Astyanax mexicanus: one gene and its partners. The protein of the gene in region 2 binds, or shares a complex with, the protein of the main gene of each other region. Links are inferred from orthologs where the notes say so. Each region holds a gene or a part of one and is shown on either strand. Other genes may lie near its edges. The genes, in order: kank1a, eif4a1a and pdcd4b.

Evidence for each region.
Region 1: the proteins of eif4a1a (region 2) and kank1a are in contact, whole or in part, in a crystal structure (PDB 7DDX), measured with the Mus musculus proteins. The link is inferred for Astyanax mexicanus from reciprocal best matches to the Homo sapiens genes EIF4A1 and KANK1. Residues at the interface, in NP_659207.1 of Mus musculus: Lys99, Val140, Arg141, Val144, Gln145, Lys146, Leu147, Gln148, Met149, Glu150, Ala151, Arg168, Arg169, Tyr170, Ser172; in NP_852069.4 of Mus musculus: Gly1168, Asn1169, Asn1171, His1175, Tyr1176, Val1178, Asn1201, Lys1202, Ala1203, Tyr1205, Met1209, Leu1210, Leu1213, Ala1214, Ala1215, Gln1240, Ala1241, Leu1248, Ser1251, His1252, Arg1254, Asp1273, Glu1274, His1285.
Region 3: the proteins of eif4a1a (region 2) and pdcd4b are in contact, whole or in part, in a crystal structure (PDB 2ZU6), measured with the Homo sapiens proteins. The link is inferred for Astyanax mexicanus from reciprocal best matches to the Homo sapiens genes EIF4A1 and PDCD4. Residues at the interface, in NP_001407.1 of Homo sapiens: Gln75, Thr109, Arg110, Glu111, Ile135, Gly137, Val140, Thr158, Gly160, Arg161, Asp164, Glu186, Leu188, Ser189, Arg190, Gly191, Phe192, Gln195, Ala214, Thr215, Met216, Pro217, Glu240, Leu241, Thr242, Asn280, Thr281, Arg282, Arg283, Thr329; in NP_055271.2 of Homo sapiens: Pro170, Gln173, Glu174, Glu177, His178, Glu183, Glu186, Met187, Asp190, Leu209, Glu210, Lys212, Glu249, Leu250, Leu252, Asp253, Thr254, Pro255, Arg256, Gly320, Gln321, Gln322, Ser323, Val324, Leu327, Glu348, Lys352, Glu355, Val356, Pro357.

Annotation. Positions count from the first base shown.
Region 1 is NC_064429.1:18,694,525-18,701,670, forward strand, and holds the start of kank1a (KN motif and ankyrin repeat domain-containing protein 1a), read right to left. Parts: upstream 3,043-7,146; 5' UTR 2,792-3,042; intron 1-2,791.
Region 2 is NC_064415.1:26,207,200-26,214,767, forward strand, and holds the start of eif4a1a (eukaryotic translation initiation factor 4A1A), read right to left. Parts: upstream 3,049-7,568; 5' UTR 2,979-3,048; coding exon 2,956-2,978; intron 1,208-2,955; coding exon 1,159-1,207; intron 1,051-1,158; coding exon 918-1,050; intron 561-917; coding exon 421-560; intron 2-420; coding exon 1-1. Other genes in the region: senp3b (sentrin-specific protease 3b), read right to left, coding at 4,625-4,735, 4,996-5,046, 5,991-6,074, 6,199-6,336, 6,557-6,634, 6,782-6,829, 6,917-7,064. UniProt on the Homo sapiens protein: ATP-dependent RNA helicase which is a subunit of the eIF4F complex involved in cap recognition and is required for mRNA binding to ribosome.
Region 3 is NC_064430.1:22,176,172-22,183,693, reverse strand, and holds the start of pdcd4b (programmed cell death protein 4b), read right to left. Parts: upstream 3,038-7,522; 5' UTR 2,933-3,037; intron 1,421-2,932; 5' UTR 1,364-1,420; coding exon 1,321-1,363; intron 870-1,320; coding exon 567-869; intron 1-566. UniProt on the Homo sapiens protein: Inhibits translation initiation and cap-dependent translation. May excert its function by hindering the interaction between EIF4A1 and EIF4G. Inhibits the helicase activity of EIF4A. Modulates the activation of JUN kinase.

The DNA of each region.
Region 1 (7,146 bases), on a different chromosome or scaffold from region 2:
AATAGTACAGTGAGTTTAATCATTTCTGTGACATCATGTGACATGTAGTTAAGCAGGTTTTTTTTTTTTACACTCTGGGTAATGGAATGGGTCATTGATCTTAACTGATGATATCCTTAATAATAACCTTAAACTTTATTGTCGATGGCTAATAATATGCATCACAATACTATATCAAATATAAAATAGCTCTAGTGTTATGTTGCTTTAGCAATGTTTTACCACTGTATTAATATGAATAGTATAGTATACTGTAGCAGTTATGCCAAAAAAAATTGTATCATAAAAACATGAATTCAACGAAGAAGTAAAAAAAAAAAAAAATGTTAATTTAGAACGAAAGTCACAGATAAGTCAACAGGTTTTAGAGAGTTTCTATTGGTCTATTTATCATGAAATTTTTAAATAATGTGAAAAAACAACATATGTGAAGCCATATTTAAATAAAAACAGCTTTGTCCATGTTTTTGTTATCTAGTTTTTAAAAGAGGAAAAAAGAATCCAACAAAAGCTCGGAATAACACCAATTATGAATATTGTGCAAGATCTCATTTGGGGTCATTTCATAAAAGGAAAACGGAACAAAATATCTCAGTGAAAACAAGCATCGTTTGTTTGTAAGACATTTTTGCAGAGAGGAGGTTCTTCAGTTCTGGTCCTTGAGGGCCTGTGTCCAGCACAGTCTGCTGATATCACCTTTCAAGAACATCTGATTAAACTCACTTGTGTCTAGATTGCTAGATTTAGTCAATGTGTATGTGATATGATCCATTTAGCCCACACTGTTACGTAAATGTTTCCCTAGGACCAGAGCCTACGTGTGTTCAAGCCTACGTGCCAGTATTCTTTTGGCTTCATAACTCAGGTTCAGTTTAATTTAAAAACATGATAAATGCACCTAACTTTAGCGGTGCCATAGACCTGCCATAATGTATCTGTTTGTTTCTTTGGAGACTTTGAATATTTGTGTCACAATTTGAGGGTGACATTATTTAGATGACCATATTAAGTTAAGTGCTTTCAAACAAATGTATTACTAAAAAGAGAAAGGAGGGACAAAGATGGTATCTGATTGATATGGGTATCTACAGATATTCAAGCATGCAGTATAATGCCACAATGAGCCTGAGATTTGCAGACAATGATGTTCCACTCATTATAGCAAGTTATGGTTAGTAGTAACTGAATGCTGTGATGTTCAGATATTTTCCTAACAGTAGGTTTAGGTTGTATGTACAGTAGCTTGTATGGAGATTTAAACATTGCTCAGCAAAGCATGTTGATGATAAGAAAGTGTCCAAATCCAAGTCTACAAGTGGTGTTAGAAACTAAGAAATACAGTTTGTACTACATATAAATTGCACTCGATCAGCCAAGTCATTTGAAACAGACACTAGATGCCAAAGATTTGTGAGATGTGACCTTTACAGCTAGCTTTTAGCTACATTTTATATTGGAAAATAGTGATACTGTCTGTAAATCCTACACTTTTGTTAATCCACTCCAATACTTAGCCAATGAAAATTATGTAATATTTGTTTGGTATTTTGCCGTGTTTGTGTACGATATCCTACAGATATCCATGCATAGTATGCAGATATTATGACAAATTCTCAAGTCCTGTCACAATAATAATGTCAATTACTAATTGTCCAATGTATGGCATGGCCTAATTCATTATTCATGTTAATAGAAAACAGCTGGTATGTTGATTCTAATATTTTAACCTAGATATCACCTAATATCGCAATATTGCAGTTTATCTGTAGAGTCTACAGCTCTGGTAAAAAAAATAAATAAAATAAGAGACCACTTCAGTTTCTGAATCAGTTTCTCTGATTTTGCTATTTATAGGTATATGTTTGAGTAAAACGGACCTTGTTGTTTTATTCAATAAACGACTGATAACTATTTGCAGAAAATGAGAAATGGCTGAATAACAAAAATTATGCAGAGCTTTCAGACGTCAAATAATGCAAAGAAAACAAGTTCATATTTATAAAGTTTTAAGAGTTCAGAAATCAATATTTGGTGGAATAACCCTAGCTTTTAATCACAGGTTTCATGCATCTTGGCATGTTCTCCTGCAGCAGTCTTACACACTGCTTTTGGATAACTTTATGCCACAAATTCAAGCAAATAAGCATGATTTGATGGCTCGTGATCATCCATTTTGCTCTTGATTATATTCCAGAGGTTTTTAAATTTGGTAAAATCAAAGAAACTCTAATGAATTTTAGGTGGTCTCTTATTTTTTCCACAGCTGTATATGCAGCTCTGTATTCAACACACCACAAACAGCACTTGTTGTTTTTAAACAGCAGTTATTTATTTCCTTACTAATAAAAAGAGCCGAAGCTGTTTAGGGGAGAAGAAACATAGGTTCCTAAATCCCTTAAAACTCCTAAAATAATTCAAACAGGAGAGCAGGTGTGAGAGAACTGAGAAACCTGAAGGAGAACAGGGTGGAGAGAAAACACGCAGTAATTCAGGTAACCTAACATTGTCCAGCCGGCCAGCTATCAGATATCACCTCAAAGCTTCGAGAAAACACCAGGTCTCAGGACGTTCAGTGCTGATGGGTTTCTCATCATTACAATTAACGTTACATATCTTATAATTATGGTCTGAATTAAGACGCTGGAGTGGTGCAGTCTCCAGCAGACTCGAGCAGAAACACTCGGTCTGAGGACTTTCCTGAACTTCTACACCTCAAGTCTGAAGAGTCCGTTTTAAACGTTTTAAACCGATTAAAAACACAAAAAACACACAGAAGTGGCTCAGAACTCACCGCTCGTGCTGGTCCGCAGCGCTCTGTCATGAAGTTCCAGGCTCGGGTTTCGCAGGTTTCCCTCACCAGGTGTTTGTGTTTAGTCACGTGTTCACTGCACAGACCTACAGCCAGACTCTCCTTACCGCGAGACTGTGTTCAACCACGTTTAAAACCTGTATTTGGATGTTTATGTCTCTCTCCCTCTCTCTCTCTCTCTGTTCTGCCCTCTGTTCAGCTGCAGTGCCTCCTGTTCCTGCACTTCAGCTCCTGTACTCACCGCGGCGAAGCGCCCCCACATCTGCGCATGCGCACGGTGGCATTGATAGTGCAGCTTATGCTGCCCATACACTATACTACTTTAAAAAAAAAAAACTGAAAATACTTTGAACAGACTAAAGTCTGACACCCTCTCACGTCTAAAGACAAGTCACAGACTTTTTACTCACAGACTTTTTTCTCACAGGCTAAGATTTTGCAAAAAACGGGGATCACTGACTGCAAGATTCTTTTTGAGATTATTTCCCATCATGCTTCTTGTGGAGTTTACATACAATACATATTGCATATTAAATTGCAAATTGTCTATCAATACTGTGATTTATTAGAGACTCACAACTTTTTTGTCCATATCAACACTTTATTTTTCTGCCACACTGTTAGTTCTTGATATTTTTTAATGGATCACATTTTATGTTCAACTCTGCCTATAAGCCTCCCCCTCCCACCTTTTTTTTGTTACAACCTTGTATAGCAAAGATTCACAGTTTCACTGCTATTCATTTGCCTTTGTTTAAGATAAAAATGCAATAAAAAATATAATTCTTGCAAAATCTACTTACATGTTTAAATCAAAGTAGTGCAAAATATAATGGTTTTAAATAATGACTTTAAAGTGCTACCTGTTTTTAAAAATACTGTACATATTAAAGTAAAAACCATATAAGGCATATAAAGTGCGAAAAGTCGAAGTTTTTTTTTTTAGATCGTTTGTCACGTAAAATATTCTTGCCTATTCTGGCTTCCCGTACCTCTACTTTTGATTGTTGACATTGTTCACGTCACTATTTCACGAGTCATCTTGATCGTTCAGTGTAAGGTGGTTAGGATTGAAGGTTTAAGTAAGTCTTTTTTTTTCTCGTCCTGGCATTCAAATAAAATAAACCAAGAGCCAAGTCAAGCTCGTTGAAAAAGTGGTGGCTGACTTCCCAGGTATCGGAGGAGGCATGTGCTAGTCTTCACCCTCATGGTGTTGGAGCATTAATAGTGATAGGTAGAGTCATGGGCGTGGTAGTGGGGGGAAAAGTGGACCTGACTACCCAGGGCCCGAGTAGGGAGAGGGGCCCATGAAAATCCTGATTTTTTTTTCGCTCACTTTCCTTTGTTTACTGGCATGGATAGGGGCCCATTAACATAGAGGGTGTACAGGGCCCAGAATTTGCTGCTACGCCCCTGGGTAGAGTAGAGCTTAGAAGCTGAGCGGGTGGGATGATTGACATAGCTTAATTGGGGAGAAAAGCGGGATTTAAAAAAAAGGACTTCGATTTTGTTATTATATTACACTAGTCAGATCATCTCTAAAACATCAGGCTTAGGCCTTCGGTCTTTTCCCAATATACAGTGATCAGTACCAAGCAAAAGTGGTCCAAGATGAGGTCATAGGGACCTAAGGCTCTTTGAAGGAATTTAGGGAGAACGACCTCACAGCTTACTGGACTTGTGACAGAAAATGCTGTTAACCTCTTGGTGCCAGATACCACAAGACACTCTGAGAGGTCTTATTTCAGATTTGGCCAGATCTGTTGTGGTGGCAACAAGGGAGACCCACTCAATATTATGCACTGGTGGTACTAATGTTATGGCTATGGTTATGGATCAGTGTATATATACGTTACCAGTCAAAATACACACATAAAGCACCCCTTGCTCAATGCTTTTCTCCCGCTTTTGTGTTATGTTGTGCATTTTGGTGTTAGATGTTTCCATCATAACTGACAACGATTTAACCACACAAAGATGTGATATTTAGATTTTTTTTTACTTTTTTTCTTTTGGGACCTTTTTGAAAGTGTGTAGAACAGTTTATTCCTAAACTTGTAAGGAATACTGAATTTATTTGTGTGTGTGTAAGCAAAGCTAATAATCAAGCTCAATCCGGTGACATTGAAGTGCTTTTTGGGCCAAAGAGCTCACTTGTTCAAGATGTTACAGCAAGTTAAACATTAGCTGTGTTTTAGAACTCAGTGTCACCTTAATGTTATGCTACATTTAACACACTGGTACCAAAAATAATGGCGCTTTATAAAAGTTTCCATCAGTAACAACATATATACCTTGGGAAACATCCAGCTATTCAGAATGAAATGGCTTTAAATATGTGCAGCTTATCTAGCAGCTTGTTACTGTACCTTAGGGTAAATGCAGTACAGCCTGGCTGAAGGCCTACTTTGGAAAGTTAAGCAACGACCTTCCTGTATTTCTTTACATTACGTGATAATCATTAGTCATCTTAAATGATACATACATTTATATCTTGTTTCTATATTGACTAAACCTGATAGCAGGTTGGATGAAAATAACTTTCTGTGTGTGTGTGTGTGTGTGTGGTCCACATAAGGGCTTAATGAGGCTTATCTTAAGAGCAGTAGACCTGAAGGTGAACCTTTATAATCCTCAAGGTTAAGACAGTGTGTATGATAACACAGACTGCTTGTCTGCTCAATCTCTTATTGATTTTAAAGTCATTAATATTCATAATCTATAGCTTTCTATAGTTTTCACTGAACACTCTATTAGTTATTTTAAACAAGCTGTATGTCTAAAGGTTTACTGAGGGTATTCATAGGGAGTATACCCCTCTTTGCCTCTGTAATCATTTAACCCAGGGGTGTCAAACTCATTTTGGCCGAGGGCCACATTGGCATATTGGCTGTCCTCTGAGGGCCAGATGTAACTTATAAATGTAATAAAATGTAACCAAATGTAATATAAAATGAATGTAATTACTCTTTAATGTTAAATAACTCTAAATGGAAAAAATGTTTGCTTGTTGCTCTATTAACATAAATCCTTTTAATTTGTCATGTTATGAAATCCAAAAACTCCATCAATCAAGAACCAAACTATTCAAGTGAATAGAAATGACATAAAATACAAGTTATATTAACTTTGATCAAAACGTTTGATACTGAAATAAGGCTTAATAAATATAAAATCAAAAATTGTGAGCTGTTAAGAACATGTGATAGATTTAGCATTTCCTCAGATTTAGCAGTTCCTCATCCAACCACTAGTGGGAGCTGCAGCAGCAGCACAAGCCCCCGCTGTCTTCACTGAGTCAGAGCTACAGCCCAGCCACGGGCTACAGGCTCAGCTGAGCCAGTCTGGAGCGTTTTTAAAACATTTTAAGTTCTTCTGTGTAGGAAATAAAGGTTTTAACCCCACTAACCGGATAATACAGCTCTCTACAGCTCATCTTTCAGCACAAGCAGCTAACAGCAGCAGTTCAGAGCAGCGTCACGGAGTCACTGCTCGGATTAACGTTACATTATAAACAGGTCAGTTAGCGCGCTGCTAACCTCAGAATGTTTATAACTACGGAGTTTAGTGCACACACCACGGCTGCAGGGTTAGACTGTTGAAGGCTACTGAAGACTATAAAAGGCTATTGGAGGTTATTGAAAGGGTTATTGGAGCAGAAATCAGTACAGGCTGGTTAGATAAGTGATTCACGTCTTCGTCCTTCGCTGCGGTGAAACTGAATAGCGCTGACACAGTGATGTTTATTAAAATCATTAAAACAGATTTTGTCAGCTATTGTCTTATAAATATTTACACATAACTTATATCTCTTCTAAAAAGCGTTTATTTTGGTCAGTAACACTCTTCGTAACACAAAAGGCATACCGGTCTTTCGCCTTGAAGCACAGCCGTCCGTCTGAATCAGCTTCTCTTTTTCTGGACATTATGGGATAAACATTTCACCCGCCTTACGCCTTCCCTCCGGCAGGGTTTCCACATCAATGACTACACTGCCGTGTAGTGGCAGTAAGCCGTAACTTCGCGGGTAATACAATCGACAAGCATTGTGGGAAACGTAGTTTTTGGTCAAAGCACGCTTCTGATCCATTTATTATAGACACTAAGATCTTACAAGCTCTCGCGGGCCACATAAAAGGACGTGGCGGGCCACATTTGGCCCGCGGGCCTTGTGTTTGACACATGTGATTTAACCTATTCTGAAAAGGCCTTAGGTTGCCATGACCATATTTCTTGAACACACAGGCATTCTATGGTTAGGATGTTGTGGTGGGGGGGTGTGGGGGGGTATCAGTGTCTAGGCATAACCATCTCTACAACCTTTTAATTTAAATTAA
Region 2 (7,568 bases):
TCTAAACATGAACAGACACCAGCAAAGGTATGTCAAAAAAAGAAATCTACAAGGGCCAGGCAAATCTGAACCTAACTGGTGTTTACAGAAAAAAAAAAAAAAAATTCCATTTAGTCAGCAAACCAAGTAATGCTGTAACCCACCTCACAGCTTAAGAACTCAATGACTCACAACTGGTGGTAAATGATGAGTAACATAGCGGTGAGTCATGTTGAATATGTACCCATAGCATGAAACAGTCTTTATCTCACTGTACTGAGTAGACTGGGATGAATGGGTAATTTCAATTTTCCCCTATCAGATATAGGACTAGGTGCCACTGACAGACCACTGCCTTGCCCAGATGACAAGGGTCATTCTAAAACATTTGCGTCACCTCACAACAGAACAGAACTACTCACGCATGTAACTGGATCTTACTTGTTGGGCAAGTTCTCTGGTGGGGGCCAGGACCATGGCCTGTGTTGCTTTCATCTCAATGTCAATCTGCTGCAGGATGGAAATGGCAAAGGTGGCAGTCTTCCCTGTGCCAGACTGAGCCTGTGCAATGACATCGTATCCTGTCAAAATAAAAGTCAAAATTTAAGACAGGCCAAGACTGGCAAAATAAAGAGAGGCTTTCCATCAGCAGAAATCTACTGTAGGAACAGCTTGCAATCTGTACCCATACCATGAAACAGTCTTTTGCTCATAGTGGTGAGTAGACTGGGATGAATATGGGCTGTGTTTGATCTTCCCCTAACAGATATAGGAATCTGCCACTAGCAGGCACTTCCTTGCCCAGATGATAAGGGAGGCACAACAGTAAAAAAAGTATTGGTGCATTTAACTCACAAGAGCACATGGTGACTCATGTGTGAATCGACCATACGTATATAAAAGGTTGACTATTCTACACAGAAATATTGTCTACGTACCCTTGATACAAGGGAGAATAGCCCTCTGCTGAATAGCAGAAGGTTTCTCAAAACCATAGGCATAGATTCCTCTGAGAAGATTCTCACGGAGGTTCATGTCATCGAAACTATCGACGACTTCCTTCCAGTTGCCCTGTGGAATAAGCAGAAGTACTTTAGTCAACCTGTAACAACGAACTTTTCAGAAACACAATTACAGGTAATTAGACAGATGGATGATTGAAAAAGATATTCAACACACCTCAATGACTCCATCTGGCTCCATGCCCTCGGGGCCATTGTCTCTAGGTCTAAAAGGAGGAGAACAAACCAGAATTAATGCAATGTCATGTATTGGAAGAAAGTAGAGTAATTTGATCTTTCAGACACATTGAGATTTTGGATTTCAAATTAAAGCTCCAATTTTCATAGTCACTTTTCACCTGCCTCAATAAATAAGACCGAATTTAACAAAGGTAATCGTTGGTTTAAAACAGAAAAGTTAATCAAATGAGAAGGACGTGGATAGAAGATTTAGCTAAGATGGAGGGGGAGCGGACACCGCCAGACACGTCGCAGTTTTCTGTGAAAAAGGCTTTGGAGGGCGCCATCTTTGCCCTCACGTTTCACACGAGTTTAGCTTAGCTAGCTAACGAGGAGCTAGGCTACAGAGCTACATTAAGATTTTACACAGGCAATCGGGTTAATATAACATTTAAAGAGGAACACTGAAGAGACAACACGCACTACTATTGTTTTACATGACTTTAGACTACGAATACTTCAGATTTTTTTAGCTAAGCATAGATCTTTGTAAAGCATGTTAGCTTTAGCTTGTTAACTAGCTAGGCGTTAGCTGACTGCAGCGAATAGCTAACCTGCGAAACGCAGCTCGCTAGAGACGAATGAGCAATATAATCTGGGTTATCTAACTATAATAATCTAGTTTAGAGATCAAGAGTGAGCTAATCTGGCTACTATTAATCTCAAATTTCTTCAAATCCGAAGTGACTGGAGCGATAAACCTGGCTTAGCTTGTAGCTAAACTAGACTCCGGCCTGCTCATCCCATATAGCGGAATTCTCCATTGTCCAAACCGGCAGGCCATGTGCTCCGGTCTTCTCATCGAAATTAGTTCAAACACACACAGAAATCGTGTATTATGGCGCTAAAGCCCTACAATCCGGTTTATTTTAAATGTTTAGATCGAAATAACTAAAGCGTAAAACAGTACTAAACATGTTGAGTGAAAACAGCGCTGAACAGAGAAAGGGAGGAAGAAGCGCCATGTGCGGCCCACGAGCCGGTGTTCTGTCGAAATGTGCTACCTTACCAAATCGTGCTACCAAAGTGTGTATTTAAACATAAAAAAATACCAGAAAAAAAAAAGCACATTTAAAAAGTTGCTCGCTAAAAAAAAAAGTCTCGGTATGAATTTTGGAAAGTCTAAATTCTATATTTTAGGGTTCTGTTAAATGACAATGGGTGATTAGAACCACTTTTTTGTATTTTCCATGGTCATATCATAACTATATAAACTTTAAAATGCGCATGCGCACTGGTCGTAAAAAGCACATATCAACGGGTAGACCAATTCGACAAAACACCGGCACCCAGGCCGCCACCGCTAACCTAACTGACACGCTCAGCTAAACTAAGCTAAGCTACCGAGCTAACCGGTCAGGTCACGTTGTGTTACAGGAGCCGGCACGTTTTAACATAAGGATAGAAAACGGGCTAAAACACCAAATTAACATCGATACAGAACTAATCCGACCTAAATAAACACAATACACGCATTTACCGACATTAATACTAACAATTCTCGCATTTTTATCTACCTAAGCTAGCTTAAACCAGCGTTCTGCCGTGCCCCGCCGTTTATTCGCTTCACAGTCCGGTTAATCTAAATTTAACACTCATCCAGGTCAACTCGCTCCACCGCTGCCCAAATGTAGATATCTAACGAGTCAAATAACGTGTTTAAATATATAAATATATATAGAAATTTATATTAGGGTAAATTAGCACCCACGCTACTCTCCCAGCCCTCACTTACCTATCCTCATGTTCAGCCGACATTATCACAAAGAACAGCACAACGGCGGAAATGTGTTAAATACGCCAAGGCACCGAGGCCTGAACAATTGTGATTGGAGGAGAGTCTCGTCAATCAAAACCAAGGCTTTCCAACGTGACACCTCATAGGTTAAAACGTTAAATTCGTCACGTCGCCCTGGCACAGCCCGCCCCAGGCTTGACGTCAAGGCACAGTCTGTTCTCTAAATCAGTTTCTTTGTACATCAGCTTTTAGAATAGAAAATATGACTGCGTAGATTGGTCTATCCATATAAGAAGTATTTTACTGTGAATTTCCTCATATGTAGACAAATGTCCTATGTAGACAAATGTAAATATTCAGACAAATATACTTTATTTCTTTAAAAAACTTTTAAATGTATTTCTTTTATTACTCTCATACCCTAATTTGCTGTTAAAATGTTCAGTCTCTTTTTTATTCACATTACACTGATCAACTACCCTGCTAAAACAATTTAGCTTAGGACCAGCTGGTTATCATACCCTTTGCTGGTCAAGAGCTCTTCAAGGAGGATAAAAATAATGAAAAATAATACAAAAAATATATATACACAAATAAGTCACAGAAAAAATGATTCTTTACTTTTTTGACAGTTTGAAAGCAGAAGTTTTCAGTTTAATTAAGTTAATGTCACTTTGTTTTCCCCAAGAAATCTTTTACCACTTTACTTCACATTTTTCTACCACTGAAATAAAACTAATAAGGGTTTTTTTTCTCAAGTAACCTCTCCTAACATTTTTGGGATACAAGATTTTTGCAGGCTACTGAAAAGAACCAACTTTTCATACAATCATCGGAACTAAGATTATAAAGTACATTCAACCTGACCAGTTACTCTACAGTTCATTGTAAATGGTATGTGTTGCTACACTGGAACTACACAAAATATGTGGTTGAAATAGCCAAAAACTGTGGTATAATCTAATCTAATATAATCTAGTGTAATCATTTTTTTTTTTCAAAGAAAGACTGACAATCTGATATGACATTTTTTCTGCTTTTGGCAATGTAAATAATTACATTACAACCAGAACCTAATACAAGAGAAAAAAAAATGCAATACATTGCACCGTGTTGCCAAAATCTAAAAATAAACTCAAAATATCCATTATCAAACCTGGCAATGATATTATGTATTATGTATATAGTGTATTATTATTAAGCATATTATTATTACATTCCAATGTACAAAATATACTTGTTGCCAACAGTTATTTAACCACACTCACTCATTCATTTTCATAAGGCATGATTTATTGAAAAATAAAAGTGAAATATGATTATGCTTGCACATCTGAGTAACATGACACTTCCCCACAATTAAAAAAAAGATTTGTAACACCTTTACAGACGGAGGCAAAATCATAGAAAACACTTTGGAAGCCTCTTGCAAGAGTCCAAAATGGCTCCCATTAAAATGCCACATTTCAACAAAGCAGCCATTAGAAAAGACATTGGCCACCACAAGCACAAGAAAGTAACACTGATACAAAACAAAAACAAACAAGTGGGTTTGATAATGCAGTGTCCAGCAATGTCCTGTTTTTTTTTTTTTTTTTTTTACACAGATGGAAGTTTCCAGATGTTTTGTTCTTCCTCCTCTGGCTGCATTGCTTTGACATAAGTATCACAGTGAGAGCTTGCAGTGGCAAAGCTCTTTGTACATTAATCTCCTCAGTTTAGGCATGTCCTGCTGACTGAAGCTAAAGAGCTGTCCCAATGCCAGACACTTGCAGTACTAGAACAAAACAGAGTAAGAGACTCAGACCAAGTGGACAAATATTTGGGGAAAAAAGATCAGGTACAAAACAGAAACCAAAGTATAATATATATATTTCTACATATCTTAGATATAGTTGATGAAATTCAATTCTTTAATACACTGGAACTCTATTTTAAATAAATTTGTTCAGAAAAAAATAAAAATAAATGAATTAAGTAAAATCATACCTTTCCAAATGGTAGAAAGTGGCATGGTGATTTAGTTTTTTTACTTACCTGAAGAACGAATGCCCCACAGTCACTGTCATTATTCTGTCGGCCTACATTCTAAAACACAGATATGACCTCTGTTAACACAGCAAACTCAGAACATAAACCATCATATACTAATAACTAATGTAAGCAGTTTACAAACCCAATATCTAAATTTCTAACAACACTGAAAACTGAAAAGTTGGAGAGAAAAAAATTTGGCGAGAAATCCAGGTCTAGTTTTTCAATACTTGAGGCTATATATCAGCCAGCACTGCACAATCAAATAAAAAACAAACAAACAAGATGAGCAAAACGTAACCAATGCAGGTCAAAGTCATAATACACATTCATGTTTCACATTGTCATGTGAAATAGAAGTGAGCTGGGGCTAAACTAGAAGCTTGGCTATACAAAAAGTCTCTATTTAGGTGGGAAATCAGTAATTGTAAAATTATTAAAATAATAATATTGCATGGTGAACATTCACCCAATTACTGAAACAAAATGCAAAACATGCTAGCTAACTTGATTACCACAAACAATAAATTACAAAAGTGAGCAAAGGCCAGATAAATGCATATTCACTACAATACCTTATGGAACATTATTGTTTTTTTATCATAAAACTGTATATATAACTGTCTCGGTTGCGGCACTGGGCAATTTGTGTGGCAGCTCTTTTCAGCTTAAGACATATCTGAGCGATTAGCACGCTGGCTTACAATGAGCAACAAAATCACAAAGAGGTGATACAACAGTTTCGTTGCAGACTGACTGACTGACTGTTTATTTAAAGCCAGTATGGGAGGAATGGTCTATATAGACACAACCTGGGATCTTTACTGTTTTAGGTCTGTATATCTGAAATTGTTAATACCGGTGAATCCCTTTAAATCTAATGTAATTTTGATCTTTATAAAAATAAGAGACAAATACATACAAAGAAACATGTACAGTGACCCATACATTTCTTAAGAAACACTTTGTGGTCATTAGTCAGGTGTTGAATAACTTACCATTTTGAAAAAGCCTCTCCACCCTGTGAGAAAATCTCTCTGTTGTTTTATGATAGCTTCTGCCTGGAGGTACTTAAAAATATGCTACAAGAAGAATAAGGAAAGAGAACTGGTTAGAAGCTGGTTAGAAGCATGCCTGCAAGTTTACGCTGGGAAAAAATTAACAAAAGCTAATTAGAAAACAAATAAGCACACAAGAGGTGCTGACCTTGGGACAGCGACGGTTAAGAGTTCGCTGGGAATCAAAGTAGGTGATGAACCGTTGCTTAATGTCCACAGACACTAGTGACCAATGCACTTCCAGATGAATAGGAATCAAGAGTAGATCCTTGCTGAAGATATCAACCTGAAATCAGTGTGTAAAGAAAACCAAATGTATTACGCACACAAATACACACAAGTATAAGACTTCCATTGGTATTATCGAAAACAACAAAAGGCTCTAAAGGCATAAGACTTCCATTCCATTCTGTTTCTTTGTGTAGTCTCAAATGAAGAACCATGAAAAAAAAATGACTGGATCAGTAAAAAAAATAATCTCTTTTAAATCAGAGGAAAAATCTTACATTTTTTGTCCACCGCTTAACCCCATCATAACCTTTAGTTCTGAGCTTGTCATAGAAGAAACTGTTGAAGAAATGAACCTAGAAAACATGGATTAAAAAATATTTATTTTATATGCATTCAGCCCATTAAATGACCTAAATCATATCATATACAATGACAGCTTACTTTCACAAGATATTGTTTTTGTGTATTTTGTCCACAAAGAATGTAAGTGTCATATTCACCTTGTCAGGAACTGTATCCATTACAAGGTCCCCATACATGTTCATAACCTGAAATAAACAGATCAACAGGGAAAATAAATAATTAACTATAAGAGTTACACTTAACTATCCTAATTACAACTTTCCATTCTTTACCTGGTCATTAAGCCAGTTCTGCCCATAAAGGGTGCTGAGATCATCCATGGTCAGGACATGGCGCTTGTAGTTCACACTGAACCCTCGCACCATGCTTGTACCCGGGGAGCGCTGGTAGGACTGGATTATCTGTTGCACCTCTGCCTTCCTAATAAATCCAATTGAAACAAATTTTGTAAAAGATGTATGTGTAGTATGTGTGTATGTGTATGTGTATGTTCACTAGGGGTGTCACGATTCTCTAAATCCTCGATTCGATTTCATTTTCGATTTGAGGGTCACGATTCGATTCGATTCTCGATTTTCTTGTTTTTTTTTCTTGTTATTATTTTATGCCTCATAAAATTTAAATAATATATTTATTATTATTATTATTATTATAAATATTATAAATATTATTATTATTATTTATTAAGATATATATGGTAATGCCATCTAGTGACTTTTTTTGGTAGCAACAGTGTGCACTATTAAAACAAGCAGTTTATCAGAGCTGTGTGTGGATGGCTGGTGAAACTGCTCATTACATGAAGCTGCAGTTCTTCATCCAACCACTAGCAGCAGCAGCACAAGCCCCGCTCTCTTCACTCAGTCACTACTTCAGTACAGCCCAGCCACGGGCTACAGAGCTCAGCCAGTCCGTTTTTACTGT
Region 3 (7,522 bases), on a different chromosome or scaffold from region 2:
CAGCCCTAATATATATATATTTTATATGCACACAAGTCATATCTGTGTGGCTGGTCTAATGTCTAAATGCCTGCAGGCTGGTTCTGCAGGGCATTCAGTTCAATTAGCTTCTGCTTTGCTGCACCGGCAGCATGTGGAGCCCGTCTTCCCACAACTCCTCAGAGAAGACTGCTGAGCCTCTGTAGGAGCGTCTGAGGGTTTAATGTGTAAATAACACTTTCTCTGAAGTGAAAAAAAAAAAAAACTATATTTCCTTAAGAAATGACTAGTTAAGTACATAATTAAAAAGAATGATGTAAAGGATAAACCTTAAAATCTGGAATTAAACATGATCAAATCAGCAAAAACAGAAGGTGAGCTTTAAACTTCAAAAGAAACAGACAAAAAAAGAAATAAGAGGAACAGTAAAACAAAAAAACAAAGCTGTTAATTGAAATATAAAAGGGAAACAAAAAAAAGGCAAACAAGAGCCAGCAAGAAATTATAAAACATAAAAAAAAACACAGCTCTTCAGATCATGTTAAACTAATAATCACTGCAGGTTTTTGAGGTGAAGGTTCTGGTACCTTTCTTTGGAAGTCCTCGGCCCTTTCCCAGTCGGGACCTGCGGTCCAGCACTCTGCCCTTGGGGCTTGTGGGCGGGGCGACGGACCTGACGGCGTCCCCGTTGTCGCTGAGCGAGTCTCCCCGGCCCGAGTCTCTGGAGGAGTTCTTGCGGAGACGCCGCTTGGCCTTGGCCTTGAGACGAGCCTCGTGGACGGTACCAGCCGGAGCCAAGATCCAGTTCCCGTTTATTTCATCAAAAATTTTGGTTTGAATGCCGTTCTCCTCATTCCCAGACTGATCAGAGTCGCTCAGGGCAACTTCCTCTGTGTGTAGGAGAGAAGAAGTGTGTTAAAAGAACCATCCTCCTCGATTTAACACCAGATAACATAAAAAATACCTGAAGGATCAGAAATAAAGCAAGAGAATTTGTGACTAAGCTGAGAGCAAGTCATGTGTCACACACACACAGAGAATGAGAATGGAAGGAAGTAACTGATGTATGGCTGCAATTATTAGTCTCAATAAATCAAAATTATCGATTAATTTAGAATTTGCAAAGTACAAATCTCAGTGACTACTAATTGTTCATTTGTAACTGAAGTGCTGGAGAGTTCAATGCAAAGAGAGTTTATTTATTCCAGATGAGTTTGGAGATTTTCTATTGGTCTATTTATCAAGAGATTTTGACAGTGTAAGGCACAGTCTGTGTGCTCAAATTATGACAGACAGAGATTTGCACTAGCCTATAAGAGCTAAACACAAAAATCAACGTACCCACTGGGTTGGAGTTGAGCCAGGCCTCACAGTCAGTTGCCATTATTTGAGCGTGGGTGAGTAATCAGCAGCAGGAGGAGGAGGAGGAACACCACACAACCTGAGAGATTACACAGCATTTATATCAGTAAATAATCAGATTTTTGGCTTCTGCTTAATTTTAGGTTTAACTTCTGAAACCAATACAGATGATCTTGATCAGAGCTGGGAGAAAGAGCTGTCAGTAGTTATACTTGATGATTGGGATGAGGTCTGGGATAAAGCTAGGAAAATCAGTTTCAGTATACCTTATGTTAAAAATAAGTTTGACCCAAAACTCTCTCTCCTTACTGCCCAAATAGTAGGGGGCTATACACAGTGTATCTGGTCATGTTTTAAAATAGAAAAGTATTGATTTCAGTTTTGGGTATTATTTGAAAAATTTGAGTTGATACAGGCCTCAATAGTCTTTCATTCAATTTTAGGTATTCCAAGTATAACACTGAAAAATAAAAATAAGATAAGATTATATAAATATTCTGATTTATTCAGCAAAGAAGAATCTCTTACAGTCTAGGATTAGTGATGAGGTTCCCCCTGTTAAAAATTGGGATAAAATTGTGTATAGAGAGTGTATAGCTATGGAGTTTCTGATTGTATATTATATTCATCAACAGATTTATTTAACCAAATATGATAACTGATCATCTTCAATTTTTCAATAATTGTGATTGTATGCAGATAAATCTTCTATAAGATTATTTTACATATTTTGGATAGTCTGATTTGTATTTATTCTCTTTTTACTGGGATTGTTTATAAGTGTGTGTAACTTCAGTAATGTGGTGGATATCTCTTTTTTAATATTTTATAAATGAGTTTGTTTGTTGCTAGTTTGTCTGTTGATGCAAGTTTAAAATTGAAATAAACATATTACAAATAGCAATCACTTTAGTTAGTGAGTTAGTGTATATTTAAGGTAGGTAAATATTTATTTAGTTTGTTAGGGAGGTAAAGCTGGTTTCTGATTAACATTACCATCATTCCACCTTAAGCAGCGCAGTGGTACTGCAGGGCTGTTTAAGGTGGAATAGGGAAATTCCAGTACGAAGCCAAACAGAGCACAGTTAAATTAAATATCCAGGTTAAAGCAAAAACACATTTATCGCGGGAATTTCAGTGTTATATAGAAATAAAGACCAGCTAGCTAGTGTTAGATTAACGTTATAAAAACAGGATTCATTAATTTACTGCTGCTGTTAGCTCTCACATTAACGTCAATCTACCGTAGGTTATAACTCTATATGAATGAATGTAGGGTAACGTTAGCTATTTTAGCGCTAACTAGGTAAGATTAGAACCTAATAAATTGGGTTTAAGTCTGAACTACAGTCAGAAAATGCAGGAGAACTCAGTATAATCGTGTTAATTTATGGTATAAAACTGAATAAACGCTGCAGTTGAGTTAAAGGGTCAGCCCACAGCCTCCACAACATAAACAAACCCCCGCTGCACCAAAATAAAGCATTTATTCACAGAAATAAACACCCGAGCGCGATTACAGACACACTTTAAGATATAAAAACACACAAAACCCGCAATTAAACAATAAAAAGCGGAATAAATCACTTACAGTCTCCGGCCTGTTCGCTTTTTAAGTTATAACGCAGATCTGTGTCTCGGCTTTGTTCTCTACCCAGCAACACGGCCGCGTCCAGCTCTCCCTTCTGCTTTCTGATTGGCCCGGTTATTTAAGGTTGGGAGGCGAGCCCTCTGATTGGCCGCATTGTTGGAGGTTGAGCCGCAAATCCACCAATGAGAACACGGCGTGAGAAAATCGTTCTGGTGTTTTCTATGAGGACATGTCCGGGCAGGCCCCGCCCCCTGGCGGTGGAGCTGGGTACTGAATGGGCCCTTTTCACAGAGCTTGATGACGTGTTTCCGGTTTGGTTTAGCAGGGTAAACACAGCGGCGCTAGAATGGAGTTCACTGCTGTCTCTGCACAAACTTCTATTGATTTCTTTCTCCGACATCTCACTGATTATAGATGAGGTATCAGTAGCGAAAATATCGAAGGTTGAAAAGGATTACAAGCTTTTTGTCGAGGAATACATCTTTAATTTTGAGGGTAAGTAGTTATTTTTATACAAGTTAGCGAGGCTTCCAATTCAGTTAGGTTAGCTACCGCTAACTAGCGAGCTTGCTAACTTAGATAGACAACAGTACGTCAAGTAATGCTAAGTAGCTGTTTAGTTAATGTTTTCTTTTCTGTTTTAACCATTACTGTAGCTACTGCCCAGGATCTGATGTGCTTATTTAAGGCTTTGAGTTGGATAGAAGACAGAACTGTTTTTCCCTTGTATATACAGTTTCAAACACAGTGCAGGTGGTTTAGGAAAGTTAATCGACAGGGAGAAAAAAAATATATTAAACCACATTTAACCCTAGTTATCTTGTACGTAGGTGAAACAGTTCAGGTAAGCCTAAGATGATTCTATGTGTTGCTAGCTTCCCACTAGGTAGGTTAAGCCAGTGGCCAAAGTTAGTCGTCTGTAGTGAAGCAGATATACCAACCACTTAGAATGTAGAATGTGAAGGTCAAGTGTTAATTTGTCCATCATATTAAATTTTTGCTTGGTTTTTAGGAGGTTAACTTATTCAGGTAGATTGTTTAGGGTCAGCCAAGAGGTTAAAGATGTAGTAGTAATTGTGAATGGCTTAAATATAGATATGAACATTTGGTGCTTTTTGTACCGTTTAAAAAATGTTTCTCAGAGCTGACAGTATGTCTGTGCTTTGCATTACAGGTGACTTCATACCACCCAGATCCTGTGGAGGTAATAAAGACATCGTGCAAGTGTTGCGGGGAAGGCCTTTTCCAATCATACTATTGCTCTGCTTTATCAGATTGCCCATTAAAGCACCATGGGCTTTAAAACAGTCTCTCTCCCAGCAGCATGTTCTGTTATAGTTTGTTTTTTGTGGAAATATGGAATTTTCTAAATAAACTTGTATTCTTTGCTTGAATTGTCTTTTTATGTAGCGCAGAGCCAGCAACAAGCAAGAAAACATTTCAGTTCATTGACATTTTGTTTACTGAATCAATCTATTTGTATTGGGTGTCATGGAACTATTTTACATTTTAATTAACTTTAAAAATCAGGATATTTTGGGTAAACATAACATTTTGGTTGTGCTTCAAAAAATGCATAATTTCTGACAACTAGCTATATTGTTTAAACTGTATATTTAGAATATTGTATTTCCTGCAATGGTATGCCTAGTGAATACAGTCGTAACCAAATCATCTATGACTTTGTCTACAGATAAAACAAATACAAAGCACCTGGGACAAGAGGATTAAAATGTATTTCATTTATTATATTTATAAAACACTCAAATTTAAAAAATCTAAAAATACAAAAAACAAATGAAGCTCACATGGTAAGTTAAAGCTAAAATATTTAGACAGAATTTTGTACTGAGTCAAGGAAAATTGTGTGGAAAAAGTGGAACTCTTCTTTAGTTGAGCAGAAATGGTTAAGCCTAGGTTGGTCTGCAAGCTGTTTTATTTAATTCTCCAGCTCAATCACTTTTTGCTCCAGCTCCCTTATTCGTGCAGCTGCAGCGTCCACTTTGCCTGCAACAAAAGGGGGGAAAAAATACATTAGCTTAGTTTTATATTGACAGATAATCTGACAAAATTTAAGTCAAACTCTGAATTGACCTATATTGTACACCAATTACTAATTAGGTAAACTGGTATATTTTACTGTGCTATGTTTAGCTAACAAATACTGGTATTCTTTGGTATAATACATAAACCATACTTGTGCTTGGAAAGTTTTTAAACAACAAATGATATCTCGGACACAAGTCAGTAATTCAGGTAAACATGCCAAATTGACCCTTTATTTAGGTAAATATTGAATATTTAGCCTTTATTTAGGCAAGTTAGACTTCAAATAAGTATTTCAATTTTAAACTTTATTCAGGTACGAATTGTAGGTGTAGACTTTATTCAGGTAAGTATTGCATATTAAGACTTTATTTAAATAAGTATAGCATATTTAGACTTTATTCAGGTATTAATTGTAAGTTTAAACTTTATTCAAGTAAATATTGCATATTAAGACTTAATCCAAATAATTATATCTTATTAAGACTTTATTCAGTTATGAATTGTAAGTTTATACGGTTATTCAGTATATATTGTATCTCCAATGTTATTTTGGTAGGTATCCTGTCTTGAGACTATTACTCAGGTAATTATTAATTATTCAAATGGATATTTAGGTAGCTGGCTTGTGTATTTATTGTGTAAATGGATATAAGAGTTGTAAAATTACTCACCAGGAGACGGTGGACGGCAGTAATCGTGCTTGGCTCGGTTAGCATAGCTTCAGGTCCTCCTCGTCTCTCTGTCCCATGGCAGCTTCAGTGTTCAAACCGAGACGAGTACTTGCCCTCTCGTAGGGTGTCAGGCGGTTTTCATATCGACTCCCAAAATTATTCCAGGCGAATCGTGGTGAAACTGATTCCTGGCTCTGTTCCCTCCCGCTTTGACATATAGCTCATCCGGCCTGAAGTGCTGGCTACACGCATATGTACTGCCGCGCAGAACCGTAAATGTGGCATTTTCCTCTCTCCTAATTGCTCTTATCTATTTACCGCGTAAACGTGTGACATTTGGAAAGTCGTGGAAACTCAGGTTTGGTTGTTTGCGTTTGCTATTTGAGCAGAAAGGCTCGCTGCAGTAGCATTTCCTATGCTGCTCCATTTCGTCTATACGTTCTACACGCGTTGTTTACCCTGCTATTTTTTACTTCCGCATTCCAAACCCGGAAATGTGAAAAGGGCCCATCACAGAGGAGCAGCGTTACGTAACCGCTGCTGTGAACGAGTCCTTCATGAATCAATGAACCAATGAATCAATGAACCGATTCAACTGAACCAAACTTTTTTTGTTTATATTATAAATTATAAAAAGATTCACAGTACAATAATTATTCCACCAAATATTGATTTCTGGACTCTTAAAACTTTATGAATATGAACTTGTTTTCTTTGTATTATTTGAGGTCTGAAAGCTCTGCATCTTTTTTGTAATTTTAGCCATTTCTCATTTCAATAATAGTTGAAAATAACAATTTCCAATATCAACTTATGCATTTGCCCACTGTCAGAAAGCCTTCGCATCATTTCTTTAAACTTAATTTTCAAGATTTTATTTTAATTTGATGCTGCTGCATCCTGTGGTGTTTATAATTATTATTAAAACATTAAGACATTACCCCAAATATTAATGATGTTTGTACATACAATATTGTGTATAGACCTTATTCAAATCAACTTTTCTTCAACAATTTAAATATCATTAATATGGTTGTATTTGTCTTTTTTCACACACTGAAACAGAAAAAAGCTCAGGTTTCTCAAAACTGTTTATTGAAATATTTGCATTAAAACATCCCACAAAATATTTAAAGAAACTTCACAGATCTCAAAAGTGGGACAGCGATATTATTATTAATATACAAAAAAACACATTCTGCTGCTGTAATCTACTGCAATAACACACACTTCACATTTGTTTTTACAGGAGTTCATTTTAAATATCATAAATAACTCACATGGTCCAGTTCAAGTTTTGCTACTGTCTGAGCGTTATACACAGCATAGATTAATAAACACGCTTTTCCAGATATTAATTTAAGGCCTGGTCTGTCTGATGGACAGATTTATGCAGAACTGATGATTCTTGTTTCTTTATAAAAGTTGCACATTTAAAAAGCAGCTCTGTAAAAACATGGGAAATATTATCTTGACTTTACTGAGTTTATTTCTCCTCACCTGAGCAAAAAATATACAGATTGTATAAAAGGCACTTCATAATCAGAAAAATTGCGTCTTTATCCAGTTTCTGAGAACGTCCAGTGTACATCACATTAAAAAATAACCAAACTTAAATTCACATTCCTGTGAATCCAGCAGAACAAAAGCTACAAAAGGCAATAGAGACATATTTTATTAGTTAAAGGTCTTTTCTGAAGGCATGCTGGTGAATCTGAATATAGAAGTTGCACAGTAAAATAGATCAGTACTTTAGTTATTTAGTTCTTGTTGGATGCACTATGTTTTTCTTAGCTGAGCACATTTGGTAAGTGCTTATTATTGTCTTTTTTTAAATGTTGAGCTTTTTTTGGATCACATTCAATAAATG